Macaca mulatta: one gene and its partners. The protein of the gene in region 1 interacts with the protein of each later gene in a pairwise test. Links are inferred from orthologs where the notes say so. Each region holds a gene or a part of one and is shown in the gene's direction. Other genes may lie near its edges.

What was found.
Region 2: the proteins of PAK5 (region 1) and CARD9 interact in binary tests that used the Homo sapiens proteins (3 or more experiments, as listed by UniProt). The two-hybrid records come from large-scale screens. The link is inferred for Macaca mulatta from reciprocal best matches to the Homo sapiens genes PAK5 and CARD9.
Region 3: the proteins of PAK5 (region 1) and CCNG1 interact in binary tests that used the Homo sapiens proteins (3 or more experiments, as listed by UniProt). The two-hybrid records come from large-scale screens. The link is inferred for Macaca mulatta from reciprocal best matches to the Homo sapiens genes PAK5 and CCNG1.
Region 4: the proteins of PAK5 (region 1) and UXT interact in binary tests that used the Homo sapiens proteins (3 or more experiments, as listed by UniProt). The two-hybrid records come from large-scale screens. The link is inferred for Macaca mulatta from reciprocal best matches to the Homo sapiens genes PAK5 and UXT.
Region 5: the proteins of PAK5 (region 1) and PRPF31 interact in binary tests that used the Homo sapiens proteins (3 or more experiments, as listed by UniProt). The two-hybrid records come from large-scale screens. The link is inferred for Macaca mulatta from reciprocal best matches to the Homo sapiens genes PAK5 and PRPF31.
Region 6: the proteins of PAK5 (region 1) and INKA1 interact in binary tests that used the Homo sapiens proteins (3 or more experiments, as listed by UniProt). The two-hybrid records come from large-scale screens. The link is inferred for Macaca mulatta from reciprocal best matches to the Homo sapiens genes PAK5 and INKA1.
Region 7: the proteins of PAK5 (region 1) and TUBGCP4 interact in a two-hybrid assay, tested with the Homo sapiens proteins (2 studies listed by BioGRID and IntAct). The two-hybrid records come from large-scale screens. The link is inferred for Macaca mulatta from reciprocal best matches to the Homo sapiens genes PAK5 and TUBGCP4.

The regions. Positions count from the first base shown.
Region 1 is NC_133415.1:74,413,945-74,418,074, forward strand, and holds part of PAK5 (serine/threonine-protein kinase PAK 5), read left to right. Parts: intron 1-2,127; coding exon 2,128-2,913; intron 2,914-4,130.
Region 2 is NC_133420.1:6,136,254-6,140,964, forward strand, and holds the start of CARD9 (caspase recruitment domain-containing protein 9), read left to right. Parts: upstream 1-1,453; 5' UTR 1,454-1,526; coding exon 1,527-1,937; intron 1,938-2,449; exon of another isoform or gene 2,450-2,531; intron 2,532-3,103; exon of another isoform or gene 3,104-3,251; coding exon of another isoform or gene 3,252-3,404; coding exon 3,405-3,603; intron 3,604-4,040; coding exon 4,041-4,178; intron 4,179-4,338; coding exon 4,339-4,643; intron 4,644-4,711. UniProt on the Homo sapiens protein: Adapter protein that plays a key role in innate immune response against fungi by forming signaling complexes downstream of C-type lectin receptors.
Region 3 is NC_133411.1:172,255,359-172,260,015, forward strand, and holds the start of CCNG1 (cyclin-G1), read left to right. Parts: upstream 1-1,701; 5' UTR 1,702-1,912; intron 1,913-3,329; coding exon 3,330-3,593; intron 3,594-4,657. UniProt on the Homo sapiens protein: May play a role in growth regulation. Is associated with G2/M phase arrest in response to DNA damage. May be an intermediate by which p53 mediates its role as an inhibitor of cellular proliferation.
Region 4 is NC_133426.1:47,674,812-47,677,899, reverse strand, and holds the end of UXT (protein UXT), read left to right. Parts: intron 1-1,849; coding exon 1,850-1,913; intron 1,914-2,098; coding exon 2,099-2,152; 3' UTR 2,153-2,198; downstream 2,199-3,088. UniProt on the Homo sapiens protein: Involved in gene transcription regulation. Acts in concert with the corepressor URI1 to regulate androgen receptor AR-mediated transcription. Together with URI1, associates with chromatin to the NKX3-1 promoter region.
Region 5 is NC_133424.1:66,350,785-66,354,914, forward strand, and holds part of PRPF31 (U4/U6 small nuclear ribonucleoprotein Prp31), read left to right. Parts: intron 1-34; coding exon 35-118; intron 119-714; exon of another isoform or gene 715-719; coding exon 720-817; exon of another isoform or gene 818-904; intron 905-1,006; exon of another isoform or gene 1,007-1,635; coding exon 1,636-1,742; exon of another isoform or gene 1,743-1,941; coding exon 1,942-2,111; exon of another isoform or gene 2,112-2,406; intron 2,407-2,683; coding exon 2,684-2,841; intron 2,842-3,004; exon of another isoform or gene 3,005-3,457; intron 3,458-3,916; exon of another isoform or gene 3,917-4,041; intron 4,042-4,130. UniProt on the Homo sapiens protein: Involved in pre-mRNA splicing as component of the spliceosome. Required for the assembly of the U4/U5/U6 tri-snRNP complex, one of the building blocks of the spliceosome.
Region 6 is NC_133407.1:113,277,005-113,281,220, forward strand, and holds INKA1 (PAK4-inhibitor INKA1), read left to right. Parts: upstream 1-1,635; 5' UTR 1,636-1,662; intron 1,663-1,707; exon of another isoform or gene 1,708-1,730; 5' UTR 1,731-1,837; coding exon 1,838-1,888; intron 1,889-2,621; coding exon 2,622-3,419; 3' UTR 3,420-3,462; downstream 3,463-4,216. Other genes in the region: UBA7 (ubiquitin-like modifier-activating enzyme 7), read right to left, coding at 3,737-3,866. UniProt on the Homo sapiens protein: Inhibitor of the serine/threonine-protein kinase PAK4. Acts by binding PAK4 in a substrate-like manner, inhibiting the protein kinase activity.
Region 7 is NC_133412.1:20,787,455-20,790,446, forward strand, and holds part of TUBGCP4 (gamma-tubulin complex component 4), read left to right. Parts: intron 1-890; coding exon 891-1,007; intron 1,008-1,621; coding exon 1,622-1,761; intron 1,762-2,414; coding exon 2,415-2,427; 3' UTR 2,428-2,992. UniProt on the Homo sapiens protein: Component of the gamma-tubulin ring complex (gTuRC) which mediates microtubule nucleation.

The DNA.
Region 1 (4,130 bases):
GTTGGGGTTCCTTGGAGAAATGCCTGATTTGGGGGGAAGGGCAGGGAAAATAAAAGATAAACCTGGAGCTTCTTGTAGTGACAGAAAGTCAGGAAGTGCTCGAAAAATAAAAGGAAGAGGGATTGTGAAAGGGACACAGCAGGCAGCCTGAGAGAACTCTCAGTGACAGAAGCTGGAACCACTTGAGCAGCAAGGCAAATAACATAGTTTTGGCTTATAACCCAAAGTATAAAATAAATAACCATGAGTCCATCCATCCTTATAGATAAATAGATAATTGAATAAGTAGGTAAATGGGAGCAAATAAGCAAGTCTGTGCAGAATAATTCCAACTACTTTATATAGATACCCCGCAACATACACACACACACCCCAGAAGACAGAGCTTAAATCCCTGCCCTTTGAGTAGAGGCTACACTTATTGACTTGTTCCCAAATAATACAATATATGGAAAGCTAGGGGAGGGGAGTGGGACTGTGTGTATAAGAAACCTGGCAAATACGACCTCACCCAGGTAGTCAGGGCTAACATCATCATTACTAAGTCATGTCGATGTTATGTACCCTGAACATCATGTGATGAAATGTGACTTTACTCTCTGGTCTTCCTCTTCAAACCAAATAACCTCTGTTTAAACATGGGAAAAACACAAGAAAACCCCAACTGAGGAACATTCTGCAAAATACCTGACCAGTACTCCTCAAAACTGTCAAGGTCATCAAAAAATAAGGAAAATCTGAGACACTGTCAGAGATCAGAGGAAACTCGGAAGACAACAAATAAATGTAACGAGATATCCTGGATAGAACTCTGGAACGCTAGAAGAAAATTAATGAAATCTATAGGAACATGGAGTTTCCTTAATAGCAATGCAAGATATTAACAGAAGGGGAAACTGGATGAGAAGTCTATGAGAACTCTGTATTCTCTTTGCAACTTCTCTGTTAATCTAAAACTATTCTAGAACAAAAAATGTATTTGAAAGAAAAGGGTATAGAACAAAAGCATTAGTCCAGGACTCTGAGAGAAAAAAAAATAAAGCCTCTGTTTCACCATGGATAGATTTATAAAACATCAGCTCCAGGAAAACTTTGACTTCCTCCTCCAGTTTGAAGTCTTCTATTGTACCATCCAAGATGGTTTTGAACTCCTTGCTAGTTGCTCAAAGGTATTTTTCTCCTAAAATCCTGGAAGTCTGAAGTCACAACACTTTGTTCTTTGTTCTTTTATCCACCCCCATCATATTTTCCTGCGAATCCTGTCATTGTCAAGGAACAGCTGACGGTTTTGTAAGTGGTTTGCGATGTCTTTCAGTTCCTGGTATTCTTGTGTTATTTAGGTTCATTAAAGGGAACAATTTGTCACTAAGATCCAGGTGCAACCATCATTACTAAGCCACCCAAAATTCAGCGATGATGTTACGCAGAAGTGTGGCCAGAGCAAACAAGCTGTATAGTATAAGTATATATACTTAATAAGAATATCACATTTCATCATAAATCACACAAATAATCTTCAGGCTGTTTCCTAATTACAGTTTCAAGAAGTGCCTTCCTCATCTATAAAATTTCATAACCTCAGTTATTATGTGTCTTCCATATAAGGGTAAAAAATGTACACCCATTTCTAGTTATGTTAATACTTGGGCGACAATGCCTTCTGGTTTTGAAAATCATCTGAATAATGAATGTAAAACAGTAATAAATATTATTTTTTATTACCAAACAGTTATAGAGTGTTAAATTGTAATTATCAGCTCATCTATAGATGGTTGGGGCTTATTATTTAGGTAGAAGAAGCAGGGGGAAGGGATTTGCCTGTAAACTGGTAAATGAAACAGTGAGAGCCTATGTAGTCTCGTACATGGCTTTTTGGTGGTTAATTGATGTCTCTATTGAGATAGGTAGGAAGAAAATTGCAATTTGAGATTATTGTCTACTATTTCATTTATTTCACCACTACAGTTAATCAACGATTTTTTCTTTGTCATTTTGTATTAAGTGTTCCTGGGGTCTTTTTCCTTCTGTAGTTTAATTTCCTTCTGGATGGAGTGGGGGTGGGATGCCGCCGTCAACTTAAAGTCATGAAATATTTTCCTCAAACAGTATTCCTTTTATTATCCCCAGACAATCGTTAGAGGAAACAAACCCTGCAAGGAAACCTCCATCAACGGCCTGCTAGAGGATTTTGACAACATCTCGGTGACTCGTTCCAACTCCCTAAGGAAAGAAAGCCCACCCACCCCAGATCAGGGAGCCTCCAGCCACGGTCCAGGCCACGCGGAAGAAAATGGCTTCATCACCTTCTCCCAGTATTCCAGCGAATCCGATACTACTGCTGACTACACCACCGAAAAGTACAGGGAGAAGAGTCTCTATGGAGACGATCTGGATCCGTATTATAGAGGCAGCCATGCAGCCAAACAAAATGGGCACGTAATGAAAATGAAGCACGGGGAGGCCTACTATTCTGAGATGAAGCCTTTGAAATCCGATTTCGCCAGATTTTCTGCTGATTATCACTCACATTTGGACTCACTGAGCAAACCAAGTGAATATAGTGACCTCAAGTGGGAGTATCAGAGAGCCTCGAGTAGCTCCCCTCTGGATTATTCATTCCAATTCACACCTTCTAGAACTGCAGGGACCAGCGGGTGCTCCAAGGAGAGCTTGGCATACAGTGAAAGTGAATGGGGACCCAGCCTGGATGACTATGACAGGAGGCCGAAGTCTTCGTACCTGAATCAGACGAGCCCCCAGCCCGCCATGCGGCAGAGGTCCAGGTCAGGCTCGGGGCTCCAGGAACCGATGATGCCATTTGGAGCAAGTGCATTTAAAACCCATCCCCAAGGACACTCCTACAACTCCTACACCTACCCTCGCTTGTCCGAGCCCACAATGTGCATTCCAAAGGTAACGTTTGCTACCTCCTTTCCCTGAAGTGTACAAAAACCTCCACAAGGGTGGTGCTGGGATGATCTTTTTATACGATCAGATTGCCAACTACTTGTTTGCCTTTTAAGGGAAAATTAATATCAAAACCCACCCTGTCTCCACTTTTGAGGCCCCAGGGCAGAAGATTTAGGATAAGGCATATATATTCATTAAAATCAAAACCTATCTTTTGGGCCCTCCTACCTGGTTTCTCATTAAAAGGCAAATAAACTTATTTATTTGAAAGATATTCTGATATATGAGTGATAAATATGATGTGACTGTATTTCACTAAGTTTCCTGTTAAGGAGTGGATCAGTCATATAAAATCATAGAGCATTAGATCAAGTCATACAGTGGTTCCTATATCCTGGCAAAGTTTGCATGGACCTGCCAGAAAGGAAAGAAACTCAGGATGACATGGTAATTTTTAAATAAAGCTAATTTTATTCAACTCAGGGGATGGTCCTTCATATTAAGAGTGTGTACTTTTTACTATATTTGATTTGAAATATTGGTTTTTGTAAGAAATTTGGGGGTGACAGATGGTTGCTGGACCGCTGGAGCGTTTTTGTCTCCTTTTTACTTTGTTTTGTTGTAATTCCTCTTTTAAATTTTGTTTAAATGTTAGCAGATCCAAGTGTGCTTTCAAATTTGACTGGTCCATGATATCCTAAAGTTTGGAAATCACTGCCAGAGAAGTTACTGAAACTAAATCACAGACAAAGGTCTATGGGTCCAAAGGTCTGAAGTCTTGGAAACTTCCTTTGAGAATGTGCAAGTGATTTATTTTTCCCTGTCATTTAGAAATGTTTTTGCTACCTTACCTGTCCAGCAAAAGTGAACATGGAGCATTGGGTGTGGATTGTGGATTACATAGAGGTCTTGAAGCAGGTGAGAGGGACGTGCCTTCTCACAGGGCAGTCATGTACCTTATTTATACCAAACTCTCGACAGTTTGGTGAGCAGCACAGAAAACTCTGCAAGCCAAGCCTGCCTGCATTCACCTGCTTTATTGATTATAGATAGTCGATATTTTTCCTTTGCTTCTTATTTCTCATTAACCTCATCCGAGATGTTGAGGAGAAGTCATTTAAGTGTATTGTTGGAGCTACTTCAGCCATTCTTTAGAAGAAACAAAAAAGCTACCATCTTAGTTCCCAAGATATAGAATGAAAAACAAATTTTGATAAATA
Region 2 (4,711 bases), on another chromosome or scaffold:
GTCAGGCCACTGCCTGGTGGCTGAGCCACCCTAGTGCAGGCAGTTCGGGGACAGGCAGGGTGCTGGGGGCCCAGCACTGGGGTCCTCGAGGCCTCCTGTACCCTGGCTGCCCTCCCAGCAGAGAAGCAGGCTTTCGCCCATTTCATGGAAAGCACCTGTGGCTTTGTTCTTCATGCTGAGCCGGCACCCTCCCCAGATGGCTGCCAGCCCTCGCACCGCCCCAGCTGACCCAGGGGGTTCCCTGGAACAGGTGACCTGGCTACCCAGACACGATGGCAGCCCCCACAACTTTCACTGTCCTTTTGCGTGGGCCTTTCTTGGCATAAGACCAGCCCCCATCTTCTCCGTCTGTCCCCTCACTCCCTTTCCTTCGTCTCTGTGGCAGCAGCGCCCCCAGGCCCTTTGCTCTCTGGGTTTCACTCCCTCACTGGAAGCACCGTGGGGCCTCAGCCCTCGGCACCCGGCAGACAGGACGGTCCCATGGCCGGCCGCGCTCCTGAGCATGTGTTGCTGTGCCTGGTTCTCTAGCAACTGGTGCCTAGTCTCCTGGTGGCCACTCTGACCTGTGGGTTATTTAGTGGTATATTATTTAATTTCCAAATATTTAGGGATTTTCCAGATACCTGTTACTGATTTTTAGCTTCCGACATGGTTAGAGAACATGGTATGTGTGTTAATTCCTAAGGACGGACACCACAGGGAAATCACTGGGGTCCCTCGTTTTACAAGCTGGGGAATCACTGGGTCATGAGGGCCTGGTGCCAGCTCGGGCCCACTCCCCAGCAGGGCCCAGGACGGCGTTCCTGCCTGCACACTCGCTCATGCTGCTGGTGAGGGGCCCAGCCTGGAGTGTGGCATTCCCAAGAGCCCCAGAGGACCCCTAACTCCACTCCTCACTGCGTGATGTCAGGCCTGAGGGCCGGGGGCTGGGAACGGTTAGGCGAGCTCCGCACCAGCTTCCTGGCCTTCCAGCCTGGCAGCCCCCTTCTCGAAGCTGTTGGGTGGCAACTCGGTTCGACCAGCTTTACCGGTGAGGCGGGGCCTGGGGGCTCCCCAGCCTGCAGGGATGAGGCTCCAGCAGCCCCACGCTGAAGTGCATAGTTCAGGGCAGACCCTGCTGCCCGTTGTCTGTGGATGGGGGGCGGGCTGTGCCCTGCCATCACCGGTGCTTCTGAAGCTGGTTTGGGGGACCCTGGGAGTGGCCTCAGTCCTCACGTGCATCCTGGAGAAGAGCAAGGATGCCTCGTGACAAGGATAATGATACCGAGCGACACTTCTGAAAGGGACGCTTCTCCCCCGTGTGCAGCTGGGTGGTGGCCGGTGCCATGGCCCCTGGCAGGCTGCAGTGGCCTCCTGGGCTCCATAAGGTGGGCTGCAGCCCTTTCATGACCAAGGCGTGTGCTGGGCATGCTGTGTGGCTGTGTGCCCCCTGCACATGCCCTGCCCCGCTGTCCTGAGATGCCGGCGAGGGCAAGGGTGTCCGCACAGGGCAGAGCATGCCCTCCTGAAGAAGCCTCCAGAAACCTATGACCAGGTCAAAGCGGCTGGGTGCGGTCTGGCCTCGTCCAGCCTCCTGGGGGTCTCTGCTGTCTCTTCTACTTGCCAGGTGCCCGGGCTGGGCCTCTGGGGCATTCTCAGGACCCCTGGCCCCCGGCCAGGCTGGGAGGGCTGAGAGCAGTTTTCCTGTGGAGGGCAGAGGACTTCCACTTCCGTCTGCCTCTCGGGGCCTCCTGGGCTGCACGAATCAGAAGGCAGGCCACCAGGGACTGTCCCCCTGTGGGAGGACTGGCGGGACTGTGGAGTTAAGCCATCAGGAAGTGCACAGGCGTCCGGCACGCTCCTCCCTCCCTGCAGCCCCAGGCAGCATCTCCCCGAGGCTCCGCGTCCCAGGCTCCTGGTGCGTCTGCCGTGCAGGTGGCTCCTTGGAAGACCCTCAGGTGGGTGGGTCTGGTACTTTTCTGAAAAGTGACCAAGAAGGTCGGCGCCGGCTTCGTTCAGAATCCTGGCGCTGATCCCCGCAGAGCAGCATGAGGCTTCCCACAGGCAGCCAGGCAGCCTCCGCCGCGCTGCCCCATCCCTTTCATGGCCACTGGGCGGAGACATGTTCATTTCAGTGGCATTACGGTGGCAGGTGGGACCCTGCATTTCAGGCTGGGGAGGCAGGAAAGGGGCCCAGTGTTCCCAGGACTGTCCGCTGTGTGGCCGGTGTTTCTATTCAGCCCCTTGTCTGTCAAAACTGTCCTGAATGGGGTGACAAAGTACAGTGGGAAGTTGAGAAATTCTTCAAAAGACCAAGACCAAACACTTCAAAAGACCAAGTGTCTCCAGGAGTAGTGACCCAGCTCCTTTAGGCAGGAAACCAGCATTTCCCAGTGGGGCTGGAGGCTGAGGACCGGGGACCTGCGTGGGAGGCAGGACCATGTGGCTGTTCCCAGCCTTGCCCCAGTCCCAGAGGGAGTGGCTTTCAGCGGCTGAGGCTTCCACCGTGCTGGCAGAAAGGGACAGCAGTGGCTGGGCTGGTCCCAACATGGGTAGTTCTCTTGTTTCAGCCAGTGGGATGGGGGTCGGGCCTCATCGGGGGCAGGAGAAGAGTCCAGAGATTGACGGGTGCCCGTCACCTAAGAACCTGGAGAAAACAGCACAGCAGCACTCCTGGCCAGCCAAGGGCAACACCGACAGCCCCTCCCAGCTTGCGGGGCCGGCGGGGAGTGACAGAGGCACGCTCCTGTGGGCAGCTCTTCCCGGCCAGTGCAGCGACCCTGGCAGCTGGGGCAGGGCTGGGTGGCCACTCTTGCATCATCAACAGCCGGCCATGGAGGAGGGAGGGCACAGCGCGGGATGTGAGCAGGCGTCGGTCAGGGAAATGGGGAAGTTCCGCCAGAACCGGCTCCCCCAGCTGCTGCCCTAGTGGGAGGGTCATTGGCCAACCTGCTCTCACCCAGCTTGGGCTGGCCGTAGTGCCAGGCAGGTGCCCACAGCTCCTCCACCCATGGAGGTGGCTGCCCCTGTAGGCTCCAGGGCGTGGTGGGAGTGTCCAGGAGGCGGAGGCCAGAGGCGAGTCATGCCGTGGAGGCAGTTCCTCTCTCAGACCCCATCTGTGTCTCCCCCGCTGCATATCTGGGTGACACGGATGGCCAAGGGGCAGGAGCAGGGGCTGGGAAAGGCTGTGGAGGGGCCCTCGGCTGGTCTGGCGGGGAGCGGGTCACTGTGTCTCTGCCGCCTCCCTGGGGGATCCAGCATGGGGATGGGACATGGAGCTGGGTACCTCTCCTGGATGCCCCTGGGCTGACCCCCTCGACAGCCCTGACGAGAGCCCTGGCCCAGCGTCTGAGAAGGAGCGGGAGCCGGGCCTGGGTGGGGGCAGGAGCCGGCGTCACTCTCAGCGGCTGCCCCACACCCCCCAGCCTGCCTGCGAGGCCATGTCGGACTACGAGAACGATGATGAGTGCTGGAGCGTCCTGGAGGGCTTCCGGGTGATGCTCACGTCGGTCATCGACCCCTCGCGCATCACGCCCTACCTGCGGCAGTGCAAGGTCCTGAACCCCGACGATGAGGAGCAGGTGCTCAGTGACCCCAACTTGGTCATCCGCAAACGGAAAGTGGGTCAGTGCTGCCCCGCAGGCCCCAGGTCCCAAACCCAACCAAGGAGCCCGCTTGGAGGTGGCTGCACGCTCTGCCACCCTGACCCTCGACCCCAGGAGAGCCCCGCCTGGCTTTGCCCCTGGCCTCCCAGTGAGGCCCAACCTCAACCCTGGCACATGGCCACCCTATCCCCCAGCCTCTCCTGCCAGCTCGGTGCTGCCAAGAGGGGCAGTGGGACTCCCACCACAGCGGGGGCTCCTGAGACAGCCAAGGGATGGGTGGACAGCACTTTGTCCCCAGCCTAGTACCAAGACCCACAGGGTGCCTCATCCACGACCCAAACCACAGCACACCTCATCTGCATCCCAGCCTCCACCTGTCCCTGCCCCCGGGCCCACCCACCCCAGCCCTCTGCCTCGCCTGTGCCCCGCCCCCAGTTAGGCCCCTCTGGCCCGCAGGCGTGCTCTTGGACATCCTGCAGCGGACCGGCCACAAGGGCTACGTGGCCTTCCTCGAGAGCCTGGAACTCTATTACCCACAGCTGTACAAGAAGGTCACGGGCAAGGAGCCGGCCCGTGTCTTCTCCATGATCATCGGTGAGTGACGGGGAAGGCGGTGGTGGGGGCGGGCAGTGGTGCTGGGTCCTCTGCCCAGCCCCCATCCCTAGGAGCCCTGAGCTCCTGCCACAGCGCAGGGCGTGATAGAGCTGGGCCACCGGGGAACACAGGCACCGTCTAACGCTGGCGCGGCCCACAGACGCGTCCGGGGAGTCAGGCCTGACTCAGCTGCTGATGACCGAGGTCATGAAGCTGCAGAAGAAGGTGCAGGACCTGACCGCGCTGCTGAGCTCCAAGGATGACTTCATCAAGGAGCTGCGGGTGAAGGACAGCCTGCTACGCAAGCACCAGGAGCGGGTGCAGAGGCTCAAGGAGGAGTGCGAGGCCAGCAGCCGTGAGCTCAAGCGCTGCAAGGAGGAGAACTACGACCTGGCCATGCGCCTGGCACGCCAGAGCGAGGAGAAGGGTGCCGCGCTCATGCGGAACCGTGACCTGCAGCTGGAGGTGCGCCCACTGCCCCCGGGGAACCAGGCCCCCCTTGCCTGGCCTGGTGGGGTCTGCAGGCTGGGGCC
Region 3 (4,657 bases), on another chromosome or scaffold:
GCCTCCTGAGTAGCTGGGATTACAGGCACATGCCACCATGCCCGGCTAATTTTTGTATTTTCAGTAGAGACGGGGTTTCACCATCTCGGCCAGGTTGGTCTCAAACTCCTGACCTCAGGTGATCCACCCGCCTCGGCCTCCCAAAGTGCTGGGATTATAGGTGTGTGCCACCGTGCCCAGTCTGCCATAAAGATTTTATGATGCTTTAGCCATTTTTTTAAAATTGTGCACATACATTCCTAATTTTAGGAATTAATATAGCCATTTTTTAAAAATTGTGCACATACATTCCTAATTTTAGGAATTAATAATAGGAACTAAAAGGCAAAAGGAGAAATCACATTTATAAACTCACACGTTAGAGCAAAAAGTATTTTTAAATAAAATTATTTGTTAAAGGTTATAAATTGCCAATTTATATTCACTAGGTAAGCTTTTATTTTCAAGAGGAAGAAAGGCCTCTTCCCCATTTGAGTCCCAGTTTTTTAAACTGACCTGATTACGTGGCTAAGGTATTATTGTGAGGTATTAATGTTTTCTTTTGTTTTTCCTTCCCCTTCCTCCCCACCCCTTTTCCCCCTTTCCAGAGTTTTGTTCTGTGGCATTGCCTTAGGTAAGTACATGGCAGGGCAAACAGCAGAGGTGACAGCAAATCTTCCAGATTTTCACTTTGTCAAAGTAAGAGAGACTGAACTGGGGCCATGAGAACAGAGACAATCCAATTACTGTGTAATTCATAAGAGTTTAGAACTGACTCCTTGTGCACCCTTTTTCAGGCCCTTTTACTAATGGACTTTTCTCACTTGTGATGATCTGGGAGAGCGAGAGTGAGGAGAGTCTAAGAAGAGTTCAGGCTAATTATTTTCCCACTAACCTGGCATAGGAGAGGTTCATAGAGATTAAATTATTTACAGTAAATAAAAAGAGTAATATTGCTTTACATTCTGTTCTGTAGACTGGGATTCACACTCACCACAATTATTCCTGATAACAGTCTGCCACACACCTTTCATTTTAAGCAATTGAAAAATTGTACCAACTTTTCTCTTTAAATTTGCTTTAAAAGCAAATTCAGAAAATTGCTAGAGGGTCAAGAAATTACACAGTCCAACTCCATTATTTGATAAATTGTACAAAAAGCAAACTAAGGCAAGAATCAACTAACTTTCAAAGTTCACGAAGAGGGCACTCTGGAAGTTGATAAACCACCACACTATATAAATTCCACTACCTCTTTATCTGTAATGAAAAAAATCAAAGGTTGACTTTTTTTTTTTTTAACTACTCACTGTATTTTTAGAAAGATAGGGCAGAACCACTGTAGAACTCCTAAACCCCACAGAACAAACAGTACATTCTGGAATGATACGCTGGCCAATCCGGCTGGCAGCCGATTGACCTGACCCAGGCAAGGGTTGGTGCATAGAGTATTTAGTTCGGCCCCCTACTGAATGAAGACACTTTGTTAAATTCTCCAATGAGAGACGCTTAGAGGTAGGGGCGTGGAAGAGGGCCGGGGAATTTGACGCCAGATAACGGGAAGTGTGAGCTGATTGGCCGGGCTTCTCACTCCACGGCCCAGCCTTTTACGGATAGCGGAGGCCATCCATCAAAAGAATTACACCAATCAGAGTTGAAAATGCCCCCTTCTCGCGAGAAAGCCCCGCCCTCCAATATATTCCTCTGCAGGGCAGGCGCGGCCCCTTCGGCTCCGAGCTGACCCTGATCAGGGCGAAGTCGTCTCGGCTGCGCTGCCGAGACCTCCACCCAGGACAGCGCCCCCTCCCCGGGCCTCTCTCCTCTTGCCTACGAGTCACCTCTCCTCGTAGTCCTCTTGGATCTAATATCGTGGGGTGAGGGGAGCAGGCCCGGGGAGGGTGGTTACCGCTGAGGAGCTGCAGTCGCTGTCAAGGTGAGTGGGACTGCGCGGGGGTTGACCGCCAGGTGCGGGTGGGGAGCGGGGTTGGGGACGTGGAGCGAGGAGTAGGTCTGGCCCGCGCCCTTTTCCGCAGTTAACTCTACCGCTGCTGTGAGCACAAGCCCAGGCTAGTCCGGGGCTGGAGGGGCGGAGCCGGATCCGGCCTCCTGGGGTGCCTTAGTGTCTGCCGGCCCAGTCCCAGGGAGTAGCCAGGGGAGGAAGAATGGAACCCCTGCAGTTAGAGGTTCCTCACATGACCAACTCTGAAGATCTCCGCCTTCCTGTCTTTAGGTTGGTGTGGAGAGGGACCTTCCGTGTATCTAGGGCTTAGCTTGTGCCCGGGACATGGTTGTGTTATGCACACTTAAATCAATGGAATTCCCAGGTTCACCTTTCAGACTAGGTTAGCAACACCCACCGCCCCCCGCCCCAGTGCGTGCTCTTAATGCCACCTTTTAAGTTTCCTTTCCTAACAACAATAAAAGTTGACTAATATTGAGTATTGTATGCCAAGAACTGTGCTATACTCTGTAAGTGGTGAATCTTGTTGTCTCTTCACATTCAGCGACAGATATTGTTACCCTCATTTTATAAATCTAGAAATAAGCTCAAGCTCATTATTGTTCAGTGTTTTTTAGGCACCTACTATATGTGCTAAGCTCTTTACGTGATTTCATTTAGGTCACACAAATCTGTGAGGTAGGTCATAAACCTTATCACTACTTTATAAATGAGGAACTAAGTACAATTAAGTAACTTGAACCGTTCATGTTGTTAAAATGTGGCAGAATACTTAACTACCATCTGCTTTTCACTTTCGGTATCCTGTCTTACGGTGATTATTCGTGGTTATCTATTGACAAGGTATAAGTTGAACAAGTATTTCTTGAAGATTTGCATTTTATTTTTCTAAAAAGCATGTTTCCGGCCGGGCGCGCTGGCTCACGCCTGTAATCCCAGCACTTTGGAAGGCGGAGGCGGGCGGATCACGAGACCAGGAGATCGAGACCATCCTGGCCAACATGATGAAACCCCATCTCTACTAAAAATATAAAAATTAGCTGGGCGTGGTGGCGCACCCCTGTAATCCCAGCTACTTGGGAGGCTGAGGCAGGAGAATTGCTTGAACCGGGGAGTCGGAGGTTGCAGTGAGCCAAGATCGTGCCACTGCACTCCAGCCTGGCAACAGAGCGAGACTCCGTCTCCAAAAAAAAAAAAAACACACATTTAGGATGTGACCAACTTGTAGAAGGGAAATAAATAACAGATGGCACTTTGCAATGACTTAGATGCACTAGCCGCATTGGGGGATGGGAGACTTATAAATCATTTCTTGGCCCAGTGCAAAGATGGCCAAGGAAAGCAGGAAGGACTACTTACACTCCTTTCTGGTCTTTTTTTCTATATATAGATGATAGAGGTACTGACAACAACTGACTCTCAGAAACTGCTACACCAGCTGAATGCCCTGTTGGAACAGGAGTCTAGATGTCAGCCAAAGGTCTGTGGCTTGAGACTAATTGAGTCTGCACATGATAATGGCCTCAGAATGACTGCAAGACTAAGGGACTTTGAAGTAAAAGATCTTCTTAGTCTAACTCAGTTCTTTGGCTTCGACACAGAGACATTTTCTCTAGCTGTGAATTTACTGGACAGATTCCTGTCTAAAATGAAGGTATGTTTGAAGCTACACTTTTGTAATTTTGCTCAGTGTGTTTTGGAGATGGAATTGTTACCTTTTGGCTGATACTCACAAACTTGACCTTTTTTATTTTCAGCACGTAGCCAAAACATTAATTTTGTCTACTACAGCATTAATATGATTTCTTATCATAAGAGTACATCAGGTATTAGACTTAAATTCTGAAATGAAAAATAGTCTAATATCAAGTAACTAATTGCAGTTTCCTAGTAAGAAAATTGGCTGTTTTTAAAAAACCCTTCTTGATAGGTTGGATTTGTCCATTTATTTACTATTTTTAGATATAAACAAATGTATTAGTGGCAGATATTTATTAGAGGCTACATTGTGGCTAAGAATATACTTCTTAATCACTACCCATATATAAAATTGTAAATGTTATAGCCTTAGACCTAGTCAAGACTTGCTTATGCTTGGCATTTCCAGCTTCAGTGTACATGCAGTGGGGAGGAGAGTGTATCTGAAGGAGCAACTATTTTTCTATACTAGATAAACAAGACTATGTCACTTTCAGAGCTTAACTGTTACAAATGCATCTCCCTTTCCCATACACCTATGGTCACTGGAAGAAAAAAAGATATGTGGCAATTAGAAGGAAACTCATATTTTAGTCCTTGGTATCTAATACAGTGTATCACAAGAAAGGACTTCAATATTTGTTGAAGATTCAAGAAATTTGCTTCAATAGACTAATTAACCTCTTGACATTTCACATGTGTAGTTACTACCTTTGAATCTATAAATGTTACATAAATGAATAATATGTAGCTGTCCCCTCAGGTATAATTCAGTCTAATGTGAGAATAAGATCATTGCTCTTATGTACAAGTCATAGTAAGAAAAGTAACTACCTTATTCTTTTAAAGAGGTATAAGTGTACTGCTGAAGAGGTTACAAGAAGAGAGAGAGCACAGAGATATTAATACTGGTAACAGCTTAGTTTCGTGTGAGCTGGACGTAAACAACTGGATAAAGTTTGACTGTGCCTCATACTGCAGACATTCAGAAAATTAAATGATAAAGATTACTAGTGGATA
Region 4 (3,088 bases), on another chromosome or scaffold:
TCCCTTAGGAGCTGATCAGGTTCATTCTTCCGTTCTTTAAGTATTACCCCCAGAATATTCTTGAAAGTATTCTTGCTCTCTGGCAACAACACCCATACTTCATTTATTTCCTGTCCCTAAACGTACACTCAACCAACTTCAGGTTCCTTTGAATGGAGTAATCACTTATTCATTCAGCATATGTTGGGTGCCTGCTCTGTGCCTCACACTGTTCTGGTCCCTGGGGATAGAGCAGGAAACAAAAAAGACCAAAATCTGCCCTCATACGGCTGACATTCTAGTCAGGGGAGATAAACAATAAATGAATGATGTAGTATGTCAGATGTTGACAGTGCTATGGAGAAACCATATCATGGAGATCAGAAGCATTACCTGCAATGAACAGTCGTGATTTTAAGAAGAATGGCTGACTGGATGTGAAGTGTGAGAGAGAGAGGAGTCCAGGTTTTTGGCTGAGCAGCTGGAAGGATGGAGTTGCCATTATCTGAGATGGAGAAGATAGGGGAGGAGTAGATTTGGAGGGGAAGGTCAGGAGTTTAGTCTGGAACCTGTTAAGTATGAGGTACTTATTAAACACTGAAGTGGAGTTTTAGAAGATGTCATTAAAACTCCTAGTCAAGTTCAAGAGAGAGTTCTGGGCTAGAAATAAAAACGTGGGAGATATTGGTATATGCATGGGTTCATACTACTTTTTTTTCCCAATTTAACATCCTGTCTTATTGCTCTCTACTTTTCCAACAGTATTTAGTTTCATTTACCCCTCAAACTGACTCCTACATTGACAGCACAATAAAATCCACATTCCTTATCATTATATCAAGACCCTGCCTGATCTAACCTCCTCCTACCTCTTGGACCTTGTCTTACGCCACTTTCCCTCACCACTCACTTAATTTCTAATGCTCTGACCTTACTGCCTGTCAAACAGCTCTTTGTTGCCTCTTGGCCTTTTTGTGGAAAAGGCCTTCCTACTGCTTAACCATTAGGCATTCTTCGGTTCCTTCTCATTCTTCATTCTTCAGAAAGGCCTTCCTTGACCCTTTATATCAATTAGGATTCTTTTGGGTGAGATCTGATCCAAACTGGCTTAGAGAAAAGGAGTCAACTGACTGGTTCATGTAATTCAACCTCCTTCCTCTGCCACAACCTTCCCTTGGCTCCCATCTCACTTAAGGTCAAAGCCAGGGTCCTTACCATGGCCTTGTAAGCTTCACACAGTCTGCCTCCCTCATTACCTCTCTGACCTCACCTCTTACATTCCCCCTTCACTTATTCTCCTTCAGCCAGAGTGGCCTGTTTGCTGCACCTCAAACATGCCAGGCACACACCCACCTCAGTGCCTTTGTGTTTGCTGCCCCTTGTGTGTGGAACACATCCTCCATATAGCCACCCTACTCAAAATTCACTGTCTTTTAAGTCTTTACTCAAGTGCTTCTCAGTGAAGCCATCCCTGAGCCCTCTATTTAAAATTGCAGCCCCCCCACTCCCATACTCCTTATTCGCTCTCATTTTTAAATTTTTTTATTGTAGTTAGAACCATCTGACACAACATTTTTTATTCCATCAGTTTTCTTGTCTGTCTCTCTTTACAAGAATTTGAAGTCCATCAGGCCAGGAGTTTTGTTTGTTGTGTTTGCTGCTATCTCCCCAGTGCCTAAAATCGCCTGGCATACAGTAGGCATTTAATAATCTTTGAATCAGTGAAAACCAGATGGTGGCTTGGCATTTCTGCATAGGAGTGAGCCAGGTGGAAATCATCCAAGATACAAGTAGATCTTGAAGTGATAAGGAAGGGTCCTCCTCATACTCATAAGTGGGGACCATTTTGCCCTTTGTTTCTTTTCTCTAGGCTCAGCAACAGCCTCACCAAGGACTCCATGAATATCAAAGCCCATATCCACATGTTGCTAGAGGTGAGAGCAGCTCACCCCACTACCAGACTCTGTGTTTAGGGTGGTGACCTGAAGAAGGGGGAGAGCGAAAGAAGGGAAGGACCATCTTTCCCTTTAAACTGGAGTCAAGGGAGGGAGGTCAGAGCAAGCCTGGGGGCGTAACCCAGACTCAATCTTTGTTCAGTCTCTTCTGTCCTCTTTTTCAGGGGCTTAGAGAACTACAAGGCCTGCAGAATTTCCCAGAGAAGCCTCACCATTGACTTCTTCCCCCCATCCTCAGACATTAAAGAGCCTGAATGCCTTTGAGTCACATGGCCCTTCTTTTTCCCCATAAACCCTGCTGGTTGCCACGGGGGCCTGTTCCTAGGGCACAAAGTTACTGAGAGACCCAGAGATCCAGTCTCTTTCTGTGGAACCTCTAAAATGCCCCAACAGTCCTGCCTCCAGCCTGTTGCCTGGCAGCATTTGCCAGTTGACCTTGTGCACTGCCCTCTCTCCTGTCATTTTGGCAACCTGGGCCCCCACCTCACCCTTCCATTCCTTTTCCTAGACACCACCCATTGAATTGCCATAGAGAATGGGCCAATTCATGGTGGAGGTTTGTTCATTCCCACAACAATCAAAGGGCCCTAAGGTTTACCCTTTCACACACCCAATCGTTACCCTAAATCCATCTCAGCCCTACCTTGTCCTAGCCCCTGCTATTGTAAGTGGTTCCAGCTTCCAATAGGCACGGAGCTGGATCCCGCTCTCCCTAGTCCGGCCCCTATTCTAGGTTGAGTCCAGCCTCCGCCAATCAACGCAGAGCCAGGTTCCTCCCCTTTTTAACTCTGGCCACAGTTCAACCCTGCCCTCTGAAGGCATTTCGTTTCTGCCACTCAATGCTCCTTCGTGTGCCTGATAGCCATCCTGCCCTCCTACCGCCGCTGTGTTCTAAATTCGTCTTCTACCCAGCTCTATGGTCTTCTCTAACCAAAGAATTGCCCTGCCCGCCTACGCGGAGCCCAGCCCGACCCACTCCCGCCGACTGCTACGCCCATTTCTATACAAGTCCTGCTTCCGCTGAGCAGCGTGGCGTGCGGCACCACCCCCTTGGTGTTTTGGCAGGGGTCTAGGAGTCCCTCATCCGCCAATCAGAGAAAAACAGGGCTACCCACCCCCGTCCTTGGAGGCTGTCTTCCATCAATCCCATGTAA
Region 5 (4,130 bases), on another chromosome or scaffold:
ATCCTCACACCCATGCCACTCCGTGTCCTCACAGTGATGGGACCGGTGGAGGCAGCGCCTGAATACCGCGTCATCGTGGATGCCAACAACCTGACCGTGGAGATCGAAAACGAGCTGAGTGAGTGCTGGGGGCAGGCGGAGACAGCCCCCTGTGACGCCCCTCATGCCCCCTCCCTTCCCCACGGGCCTTTCCCAGGGTCCTGCCGCTGAGCCCAAGCTCAGATCGAGGTTCACCTGCTGTAACGGAGTGGTGTAAGTAAGAAGGAAGTGTGTTCTCCCTCACGTATGAGTCTGAGCGAGCACTCGGGGACGGCGTGGCTCCCTCGCGTATGAGTCTGAGCGAGCACTCGGGGACGGCGTGGCCGCTTGGCTGCCCGTAAGGCCCCAGCCCTTTCCATCTTGTTGGTCGGCCACCTGCCTCGTGGTGCGAGGGGACTGCCCCACGTCCAGCCGTCGCCTCTGCATTCCCACCAGCAAGGCACTTCTTTTTTTTAAGAACATGTCACTGCAGCTCACATTTTACAGACCAGAACTAATTCCCCTGGTCACACCTAGCGGTAAGGGCGGCTGAAAAATGGAGCCTGTATGCTGGTGCCCGTATGCCAGGCTACAAGCCAGGGCTTCAGTTACTAAAGGAAGAAGGGGACGTGGGTGTTAGGGCCAACCAGCAGAGTCTGCCTCCCGTCTCACCTGACACCCGCCTGTCCCGTTTACCCTAGACATCATCCATAAGTTCATCCGGGATAAGTACTCGAAGAGATTCCCTGAACTGGAGTCCTTGGTCCCCAATGCACTGGATTACATCCGCACGGTCAAGGTGAGAGCAGAGGAGGAGCGGTGCTTCTGCTGGTGTGAAGGTGCAGGCAGGGCTCACTCTTGGACCCGCCCCCAGAGGCCTCGGGGTCTGGAGGTGAAGGAGAGGAGTGGACGGAGGCTCAGTGGCCTGCTCTGCCCAGGGTGAGAGGGACGGAGCCTGGATGGGACTTTCTCAGGGCTCCCCTCGTACCCCAGTCTCCCGAGAGGGCTTCCCCGCTGGCCTGACCCGCGCTGCTTCCGCTGTGGTCGGAGCCGGTGGCATTGGAGTTGACATCCGAAGGTCGTCACAGGGCAGGCACGCGGAGATTTGGGGGAGAGAGATGTGTTAAGTATGGAGAGCCGGAGAGGGAACAAGCGGGGAGGAAGTGAGGCGGGGAAGGAGGGGACGCGGAAGAGGTCGGATCACACTGAGCCTTTGGGTCTTATGAGAAAGCCAAGGAAGGGTTTCGGAAAAGAGGGGCGGATGCAGGTGAGGGCAGGGAGAGGAGGCGGTCCCCACGTGTGTCCGGGAAAGGATCAGGATGGTGGTGGGGGAAGCCCCCGCAGGGAAGCGAGGCCGCGGGTTTGTGCTCCGACTCGACACAGGCAGAGGCTTGTGAGGCCGCGGTCTTCCCAGACGCTGCTCTGCCCAGGTTCCGTTTCCAAAGCAGAGCAGACGGTGTGGATGCTTCAGGCGGTGGAGGCAGGAGAGGCCCCCAGTGTAGAGACCCTGACTTTCCCAGTGTCCCCGAGAAGAGACCCGAGTAGGTGCAGGGCCAGAGAGGCTCTCAAGCCTTCCTGAGTTCCTGAGCCTCCCCTGTCTTCTCTGCTCGCGCCCAGGAGCTGGGCAACAGCCTGGACAAGTGCAAGAACAATGAGAACCTGCAGCAGATCCTCACCAACGCCACCATCATGGTCGTCAGCGTCACCGCCTCCACCACCCAGGGGTATGTCCGCTGGAGGGAGGCGCCGGGCCCGGGCCAGTGGGACTGGGGATTAGGCTGAAGCTACCCACGCAGGTGGGCATACACACACACGCACACACACACACACACACACACGTGCACACACACACAACTGAGAGGGTGGGTGCTGGGCACCAAGCAGGCGGGAGACCCAGGAGGCTGGGCCCACCCGCCCCTGCAGGCAGCAGCTGTCGGAGGAGGAGCTGGAGCGGCTGGAGGAGGCCTGTGACATGGCGCTGGAGCTGAACGCCTCCAAGCACCGCATCTACGAGTACGTGGAGTCCCGGATGTCCTTCATCGCGCCCAACCTCTCCATCATTATTGGGGCGTCCACGGCCGCCAAGATCATGGGTGAGGCCCTGGGCTGGGTCCCATGGAGCGGGACTCTGCTGACACTGTGATCTGGGGGAAGCTGCTTCCCTTTTCTGTAGAATGGGGACTTTGGCACCTGGGCCTCAACACCCCGTCTCCCTGGACGTGACAGAGGTCAGCCAGCCTGGCACACAGCAAAGCCTCGTCTGGGAGAAACACTCACCCACAGCTCCTCCTCCCTCCCCTGTGCCGGAAAGCCAGAGATGACCACACCCAGGCCCTGTTGTCAGGGGGCTCCTGGTTTGGTGAAAATGGTTCCAAAACACAGACATCCCTGGAATGGGGGTAGTGTGGCTTAGCACAAACGTGGTGGTCAGTTGCCTGTTGGGGGCCTCCTCCCTGCACCCCAGGCCAGCTGCCCTCCCTCTCTGAGCCTCCTTTGCGTCTGCCCCTCGCGGAATGGGCCAGGTCGCCCGCCTGGCAGGGCCACCGAGGAATCCAGCCAGAACCTCACGTAAAGGTGCTTGGCACATGTCGAGCCCCCAGGCAGATGTGCGCACCCCCGCCTCCCCCGCTTTCTTCTGACCGCCCCTGTCCTCCTCCCACCGCAGGCGTGGCCGGCGGCCTGACCAACCTCTCCAAGATGCCCGCCTGCAACATCATGCTGCTCGGGGCCCAGCGCAAGACGCTGTCGGGCTTCTCGTCTACCTCAGTGCTGCCCCACACCGGCTACATCTACCACAGTGACATTGTGCAGTCCCTGCCCCCGGTGAGCCCACCGCGTCACAGCCCCTCCCCCGGCTCCCCTGGAGCCTTCCGCCTGCCCAGACGGCCTGAGCAGCCACCCCCACCATCTGGCCCAGCTGACAGTAGCACTCAGGAGCCGGGGACAGGGTAGCATGGGATGTGAGAGCCAGGGTTCTGCAGCACACCTGTCGGGTGACTGTGGGCAAGAGGCGTGAGTGCCCTGTGCCTCAGTCTCCTCCCCTCGAAAATGGGAGCACAGCGCCTGCTTCACGAGTTGGGGCGAGGGCTCCATGTAGACGAGGCCCTCACAAGGCAGGCCTAGCTCACGACAAGCAGCGTCGGGTTAGCAGCTGCTCCGAAGGCCACCGTCACTGGAAAGACACGGAACCCCTGAGGGCTGCTGTGCTGGGGACTGTATAACAGATTAACATTAGCCACAGGGAGAGACACACAGGAGGAGCAGGAGAGGTCACCAACCTCGGAGGGCGATGTGTCCTCTCCCCGCAGTCAGGACACATCACCCTCCCGGCATCGATGCCTGACAGCACACACAGGGCCGCCAGCCTCACACCCGTAATCCCAGCACTTTGCGAGGCCGAGGCGGGAGCATCACTTGAGGCCAGAAGTTGAAGACTAACCTGGGCAACATAGTGAGACCCCGACTCTTTTTTTTGTCTTGATTCCAATGGGATTGGAAACACCCTGTCTCTACAAGAATAAAAAACCCGGTGTGGCAGCGCTTGCCTGTCATCCCAGCTACTTGGGAGGCTGAGATGGGAGGATACTTTGCGCCCGGGAGGCGGAGGTTGCAGCGAGCCAAGATTGCACCACTGCACTTAAGCCTGGGCCAGGGACGCTTGCCTGGGCCGTGGTGTTCAGTCTTTATTGTGGCTCTGCTGTGTAGACACGACTGTGTTGCCGTGTGGCTGGTCTGTCTCCAGGTCAGGTGATGCCCCATAACTCAGAGCCCCCACGCTGAACCACGTGGTTGGGCTTTCCTGCGTGGCCAGCCCCAGGCACCCTAAACCACACTGTGGCTACCCCAGGGCCCCAGCCAGCAAGGACCGCCACCCAGGACCCCCGGGCAAAGGCCAAACCTCTTCCTGGGCAAGGCGAAATTCTCTGCCACGCGGAGCCGCTGCCAGTGTTATTCCTGTGACTGTCATCTTCAGTATCATTTGATTCTGTGGCAGCGAGTTTCACATCATCCTCCTGATGTCTCCTAGAACACAGGTCATCTCCCTTCAGTGGCACAGACCATGAATTTCAGTGACACAAAGACGGTGGTTTTTATTTTAATCACTGCATACT
Region 6 (4,216 bases), on another chromosome or scaffold:
CAGTGGTTTGTTCTTCACCCTCACTGCCTCGGCAGCATTCAATGCTTGCTCCCCTTGGCTCCTGAGTCCCCACATTCTCAGATTTCTCCTGGTTGTTTCTGCTCAGCTTCTTTGATAGTTCTGCTTCATATCTCCCCTACCTCCACCTCGTGGAATGTCCCAGGGCACAGTCCTGATTGCTGTCTCCCTCTACACTCATTTCCTCCCACCCCACCTCATCCAGGCCTATGGCCTTACATACCATCCTTTCACTCACTATTCCTCCCAGATCCAAGGCTCCAGTGCTGATCTCTGTCCTGAAGTCCAGAGTCATACACCTAGCAGCTGACTCTGCAACTCCTCTTGGATGTCTATCAGGCATCTCAAGGATTACATGTCCATAAATGATCATTGGATTTTCCTCTCCAAATCCACTCTTCTCCAGTCTTTCCCAGATCAGTTTATGGCAATTTCATCCAACCAGCTGTTAATGCCAGAAATGTAGGAGTCATGCTTGATGCCTCTTTTCCTGCCCACATCCATGCATCAGCAAGACTTGATTTTAGCTCCAAAGCATACCCCAAAGTGACCCCCCTTCAGTGCACCTGCCCTGCCCAGGCCTAGGCCCTCCCCTTCGTTGCCTGGATGACGGCAGGGGCTTCCACTCTTATTGCAGAATCCTTTTCTGAAAGCAGCTGGGATTATCTAAACAAGAGCTAGCCCAGGTCATTCCTGCTCAGAGGCCCCCATTGCTCCTCATCACACCAAGAACAAAACCCACATTCTGCTCTAAGGCCGTTAGAGCCTGGTTTTGCTGACCTTTTCCCTTCTGCCGCCACCACCAATCACAGACACCTGGGCCTTCTTTATGTTTGGCCCTGTCCAGCTCCTGTCCCTCGGGGTCTTTTCCCTGGCTGCTCCTTCTGCCTAGAATGCCCCTCCTCTTGATTGCATCCTGATGTCACCTCCTCTGAGATTGCCCTTCCCCAGGCTAGCCCATGGCCCTCATTCCCTGGTATTTTCCTGTAGCTGGTATGTCCAGTCTGTCTGCAGCTACACTACTCTTGAGCCTAGCCTGTTTGATAGAGCAACCTCAGGAGACAGGCTCACCCCAGCACCCACCCTCAGTCTGCACCTGGTACCGGCAGAGGGCATGCCGATGGTCGCGGGTCGCCGCTGGACTCGCGACTAGCCGAGCACTCCCCACTAGAGGGCAGTCCCGTCTAGCTCGGTTGGAACGCGGCTGAGGCCCCGCCAGTGCGCTGCCACAAAGTCCCACCCTCTCTGAGTCCTCAGGCCGAACCCCACTTCCATCCTGTTCAGGGAGTGCCGAGGCCAGCCTCAGGAATGGGTCCCGTGGGTCAGGCCCCGAGTGGGCCACAACCTCTCTGGGTCCGACCATACGGGGCGCTCTGCCTATGTGCGGGCGCAGCATGACGCCCCGTTAGAGGGACCGCTATTTCACCATTGAACAAATGGGGAGGATGAGGCCCCCGCACGGAGGCGACCTGTCCTGCGTCACGCAGCAAATGCAGGGTCCACACAACCATCTGGGGGCTTGGGTATCCCGGGCCCGACCCCGTCCGGCTTCCAGCTACGACCCCGCCCTTCCCCCAAGAACGGCGGCGGAGTCCGGAGGGACGCCGGGTTTTAGCCCCTCCCCCTTTGGCCGTGGGGCCGGGGCGGGGCGCGGCTGCCAGATGTCGGGGCGGCGGCGGCGGGAGCTACGGAGAGCGAGGAGCCGCGCAGCCAGGCGGAGGCTGAGGGCGCCGCTGGCCGGCCCGCCCAGCCCTCTCCGCGCGGCTCCGCCGGGGTTCCCAGAGGAGCCAGCAGGCTCAGTTGGGGCCCCGGCACGGACATGCACAGCGCTCGGCTTGACAGCTTCCTCAGCCAGCTCCGCTGGGAACTGGTGAGGCTCGGGAGCGGGTGCGGTTAGGGAGGACGCGTGCGGGGTGCCAGGCTGCTGCCCGGCCGGAACAGCAGACGGGTGCGGGGTGGCTGCAGCGTGCCCGTCCGAGGCGGGATGGGGGCGGCGCGGGGTGGGGGCGGCGCGGCTCATATGGCTCAGATGGTCCGCGTCGGATTTCGGAGGGTTGGGAACTGCGCTGAGCATCAGATAACAGCATCCAGCTGGCCGTGCTGCTGGAACGGCGCGGGAGGAGAGAGTGGAAGGGGAACTTCTTTGGGGGTGGGGCATGGGGCGGCAAGGGACTAACGAGGTGCTAGCACTGCGGTGAACGCCCCGTACTTCAGGCTGGCCTATGCCTCCCTTCTCCACCCCTCACCTAGCAAGCGCTCTTTCTGTGAAAAACGCTTTGGGCTTTGGGAGCTGAATCCCCCTCCAGTCCTGGGCAGGACCTACTTCCCTGCTCAGGCCCACAACACTGCCTGCCCGCCCGCCCGCCCTGGTGGCGGGTGTCGACTTGCCCAGCCCTGCGTGCTGCAGCCTGCCGGACTGCCACCAGGTCGGTGAATGAGAACCACACCAGCTTCGAGTGCCAGCACCCCATGCCTGCCCTGTGCTCACTAGCACCCTGCTGCCCAGGCCAGCAGGCCTATCTAACCCTCCTGGACCCTCTGTACTCTGGGCTGACCTGGTGACAAGTGATACCTCTCTGACTTCTGCCCTCTCTTCCCCTCAGTTGTGTGGTCGGGACACAGGCTCACCCCCGATGCCTGGTCCCCTGCAGCCAACCCCCCAAACTGGCCCAGATGTGCAGCCCCGCCACCAGCTTAGGGCCTCAGGTGCTTTGGAAGAAGACTCAGTCTGCTGTGTGGAGGAGGAGGAAGAAGAGGCAGTGGTGACAGAAGACAGGGGTGCAGCCTTGGGAGGCCCCAGGGAGCATGCCCTGGACTGGGACTCTGGCTTCTCGGAGGTGTCAGGCAGCACATGGCGAGAGGAAGAACTACCTGTTCCCCAGCGCCCAGCACCCTCAGCACAGCCCCTTCGTAGGCAGCGCCTCTCAGTCAGTGGCCTCCCCATGCCCAGCAGGGCCCCTGTAGCCAGTGTACCACCTGTCCACCGTCCACGGCCCAAGTCCACCCCAGACGCCTGCCTGGAGCACTGGCAGGGACTGGAAGCAGAGGACTGGACAGCAGCCCTACTGAATAGGGGTCGCAGTCGCCAGCCCCTGGTACTGGGGGACAATTGCTTTGCTGACTTGGTGCACAACTGGATGGAGCTGCCTGAGACAGGGAGTGAAGGAGGTGATGGAGGTGGGCACCGTGCCCATGCTCGGCCCCCTCAGTTCCTGCTTGGCCTCTCCGAGCAGCTTCGGCGCCGGCTGGCCAGGGCTCGGCGGACAGCTATGGCAGGAAAGCGGCTGTCATGCCCACCTCGCCCAGAACCTGAAATGCCTGCGGATGTCTCACGCTTCGCAGCCCTCATGAGCTGCCGTAGTCGCCAGCCCATCATCTGCAATGATGTCAGCTACCTCTGACCCTGCCCTCCAGCCTGGGACAATAAAAGCCTTATTTCTAGACTGTCCTGGCTTCATACCCCTGAGGCACTAAGAGGCAGCCCCAGCCCTGTGAGGCACTGCCCAGGCAGACAAATCTGAAGAGCTTTTTGTCTCTGTGTGAAGGTCCCTGTCATGCCCATGTCACACCTGTGTGCATTAGTGCACTGTGTTCTATCATCCATCCTCTCCACTATGCCTTCCTTCAACAAGCATTTATTGAGTGCCTACTGTGGGCTTACAATGCAGTGCTTGGGATCCAGGGCTCCATTGAGCTAGGTGATGGGGTGGCTGCCTTGTCACAGCTCATAGTGCAGAGGTGGAAAGGCAGTGTCTTCCTCTTCACCCTCACAGCTCAGCTCCAGCACCAACACCCGCAGCCCAGGAGCAAGTACCTGGCCTGTCACCTGCTGAACCAGTTCTGTCACCCTAGTGGGGGTGGGGTTTAGGGGAGATTGGAGAGGTGAGCAGTGGCAGGCAGTGGGCAGCCTGGCATGGACTAGAGAGGGTGCTGGCAGGCCATCAGGAGCCCAAGCCAGGAGCAAGAGCTACTCAAGACAGGAAACATCTGAAACTATTTTAGGAGCAGCTGGTGAGGCAAGCAGGAGGCAGGAAGCTATGGGTCCCTTGGGAGTGGGCTGTGAAAGGGGGGCTGTGCAGCGTGTGGGGAGCCCATGGGGCTGGCCAAGTAGGCAGCTCCTGAAGACTCCTCCTCAGGCTCTCGGCCCTCACCCCACCTCCAGCCTTTTTTGCTGGCTCCATTTGGCAAAAGAATGCTT
Region 7 (2,992 bases), on another chromosome or scaffold:
AGAACAGGAAGATTGAAATGATCTCTGGTAGTTTCTAATGGAACGGTCATGCCTCCTCTCTGACATGAGCTGGTTGTTATTCCTCAGTGTGCTACAGCACAGCCGTTACAGACTTTTAAAAATGTTCTGGTGTTTAGGGCTATTTCTGCTGCCCAGGAAGAGGAAGATATATATTAATAAATGCCATTTCAGAGGGCTGGTTGAAAACAACCAAGAACTACTGTGATGGGTCGATGCTGTCCTTATGTGGCATAGATGTATCCATAGGGAAAAGCCGAGTATCAGAGCAGGTCATCATCATTAAATATTTATTGAGTGCTTACTGTATGCAAGGCACTGGGGATACAAAGAGGTATAATTCATGGCTCTGCCCTTAAGGAGCTCACAATCTAGTTGGAAAAACAAGACATATATATACATACAGAAATCATTAACAACACAGAGGCCTGAACAATTGCCAAGTGGACAACAGTACAGATAATAAAGAAGCAAGAAACGGGGTTCACTAAAGGCTACAGTGGGGAAGGGAGTGCTTCACTGAGAGAGTGGGACTTGAACTGGTATTAAAAAGAAGAGCATCCCAGGCAAAGAGAACAACACTCACAGCTCAGAGGCAGGAACACACTCTGCGGGTCTAAGAAATGAAGAGTTAAATGTGGCTAGAATGGAGGTTTGGTGCGGGGCTGAGAGAGTAATACTCGTGTACGCAGGAAAGGATGCATTTGTTTTACACATATTGTATGTCTGAGGGGCTGGCAGGCCTTGCAAGTGACAGTGTCTATCCTCTCAGATTTGGGAGGTCAGCTATTAATCAGACTGTTCTCCCAAATCTTTAATTTCATGGACGTACCTTCCTTCTTTTCCTAATGCCAACTCTGTTTCCTGGGTAGGTGTTTCACTGCCTGAATGAAATCCTAGATCTCTGTCACAGTTTTTGTTCGCTGGTCAGTCAGAACCTAGGCCCACTGGATGAGCGTGGAGCCGCCCAGCTGAGCATTCTCGTGAAGGTGCGTCTGCCTGGAAGTATGCAGCCTTGCCGAAAGGACAGAGGTGGTTTTGTCAATGGAGAATTCATGATCTTTCCTCTGAGTCAGTAAAGCATTTCCTCAATACACACACGTACAGAAATAAGATATAAAGATAAAAATGTTGGTATCAGTTGATTTTGAATCAGGTAATTACTGTGCTACCTCAGAGTGCTCAAAAATAGTTCAGTCCTGAATAGTTTATTCAGCCCATCAAATAAGCATTGGCTTTGTTCTAACTTCCTCACATCCTACCCCTCTTTACTTCCTTGAACTAACCCCTATCTCACTGAGATAATTATCTGCTTGTAATCAAAACGGGTTCTCCCCAACCCCAGTACTTGACAAAATACATTAACTGGAAACCAGCTACTAAATTCCTACTGGTGAAAGAGTACTTTCATAGGAAGTCATGCATGTATGGATTTGGTACAAGTCATTTTAAGAACTAATAGAAATAGGAATGTGGGAAGGCCAGGTGGTTCTGTAGAATTTTGAGCAAGGCTTTTCCAAGAAACTCCTCCCTCCGCCCCCATCCTCCATATGGAGAGTTGGTGAGCTGAAGTGGAATGACAGCTGAGTCCTTCTCTCTGCAGGGCTTTAGCCGCCAGTCTTCACTCCTATTCAAGATTCTCTCCAGTGTTCGGAATCATCAGATCAACTCAGATTTGGCTCAACTACTGTTACGACTAGATTATAACAAATACTATACCCAGGCTGGTGGAACTCTGGGCAGGTAGGAGCAACCCTTGGGTAACTCAGTAGACTTTTGTGGGTGACTTTTTAATGAGTTGCAGAATTCTAGAGCTGGAAGAAGACTTTAGCCATCATATAGTCCAAATACGCTCATTTTATATAAACAAGGTTTAGAGATAGAGGTGTGACCATCTTTAATAATTTTAATGAAGATTATTTTCTAGTAGAAGTCATCATCATCATCATAAAATACTAAAAAACCTGACAGTGAGATAGGTGTTAAGTCCTTTGCTAGGTTATGTATTGCTATGCTGGGAGGCAGTGTGCCTTCCATTCCCAATTCTGATATGAACTAGCTGTGCAGCCGTGGGCACCCCGCCTTGCTGGTCCCTAGCTTCCACATTGGTGAAAGGAGGGGACCACCCCTTCTAACTCTAAACTTTAAGTGAGATTCAGTGGTAGCTGGCTTCCCAGAGCTCTGTCATTCCCATTCAGAAAATCACTTTATTGTCCTTTCTCTCTCTCAAATGTCTGCAAGTAGACTTTTTTCTAAGCTATTTTAGCAGAAGAGTCAAAAGAAACTCTTGTTTTAAGACGACATTATTTAGACCACAGGTTGTCCTGATTCATATTTCTTTGAAGGCAGTCTTGGGAAAGCATGATACTTAATAAGGCTCTTTTTCTCTTTTGTAGTTTCGGGATGTGAAAAGTTATGGCTCATAAACTGAAATAACAGCCACGTTCCCAAGTTTGTACCAGAAGATTCAAAACAAACATCCCATTCTAGCCAAACACAAATAAGTATCTGTGGCCTAGTGATAGGACTCTACCTTTTCTCCTGGAAGCAGTTACTGAACATCCAGGAGTACAAATCCTTCCCATCATTCCCATGTGGAAAGGCCTGTCCCATCAAGGAGAACATGTGGCATCTCTGATCCTTTACATTGAGAACATTTGTTGGATATGTTCGTTTATTCAGTAGTCATTTATTGAGCACCTACTGTACATGCCTTGGTACTGTTCAAGCTGTGGGAGATATAGCAGTAAACAAACAATATAGAGCAGAAAGTTAAATATTTTATGGTTCATATGTGAAAAAGTAATTATGTTTATAAATAGGCTAACTGCTGGATGTTACCATCAAGTAAGAAAGCAACAGGTAAGATAGGCTTTCTCTCTCCCTATACCAAGTAGTTTATACCTACACAGATTGGGCAATTCTAGCTAAAGAAAATATATTTAAAGTATTTCTTAGGCCAGGCACGGTGACT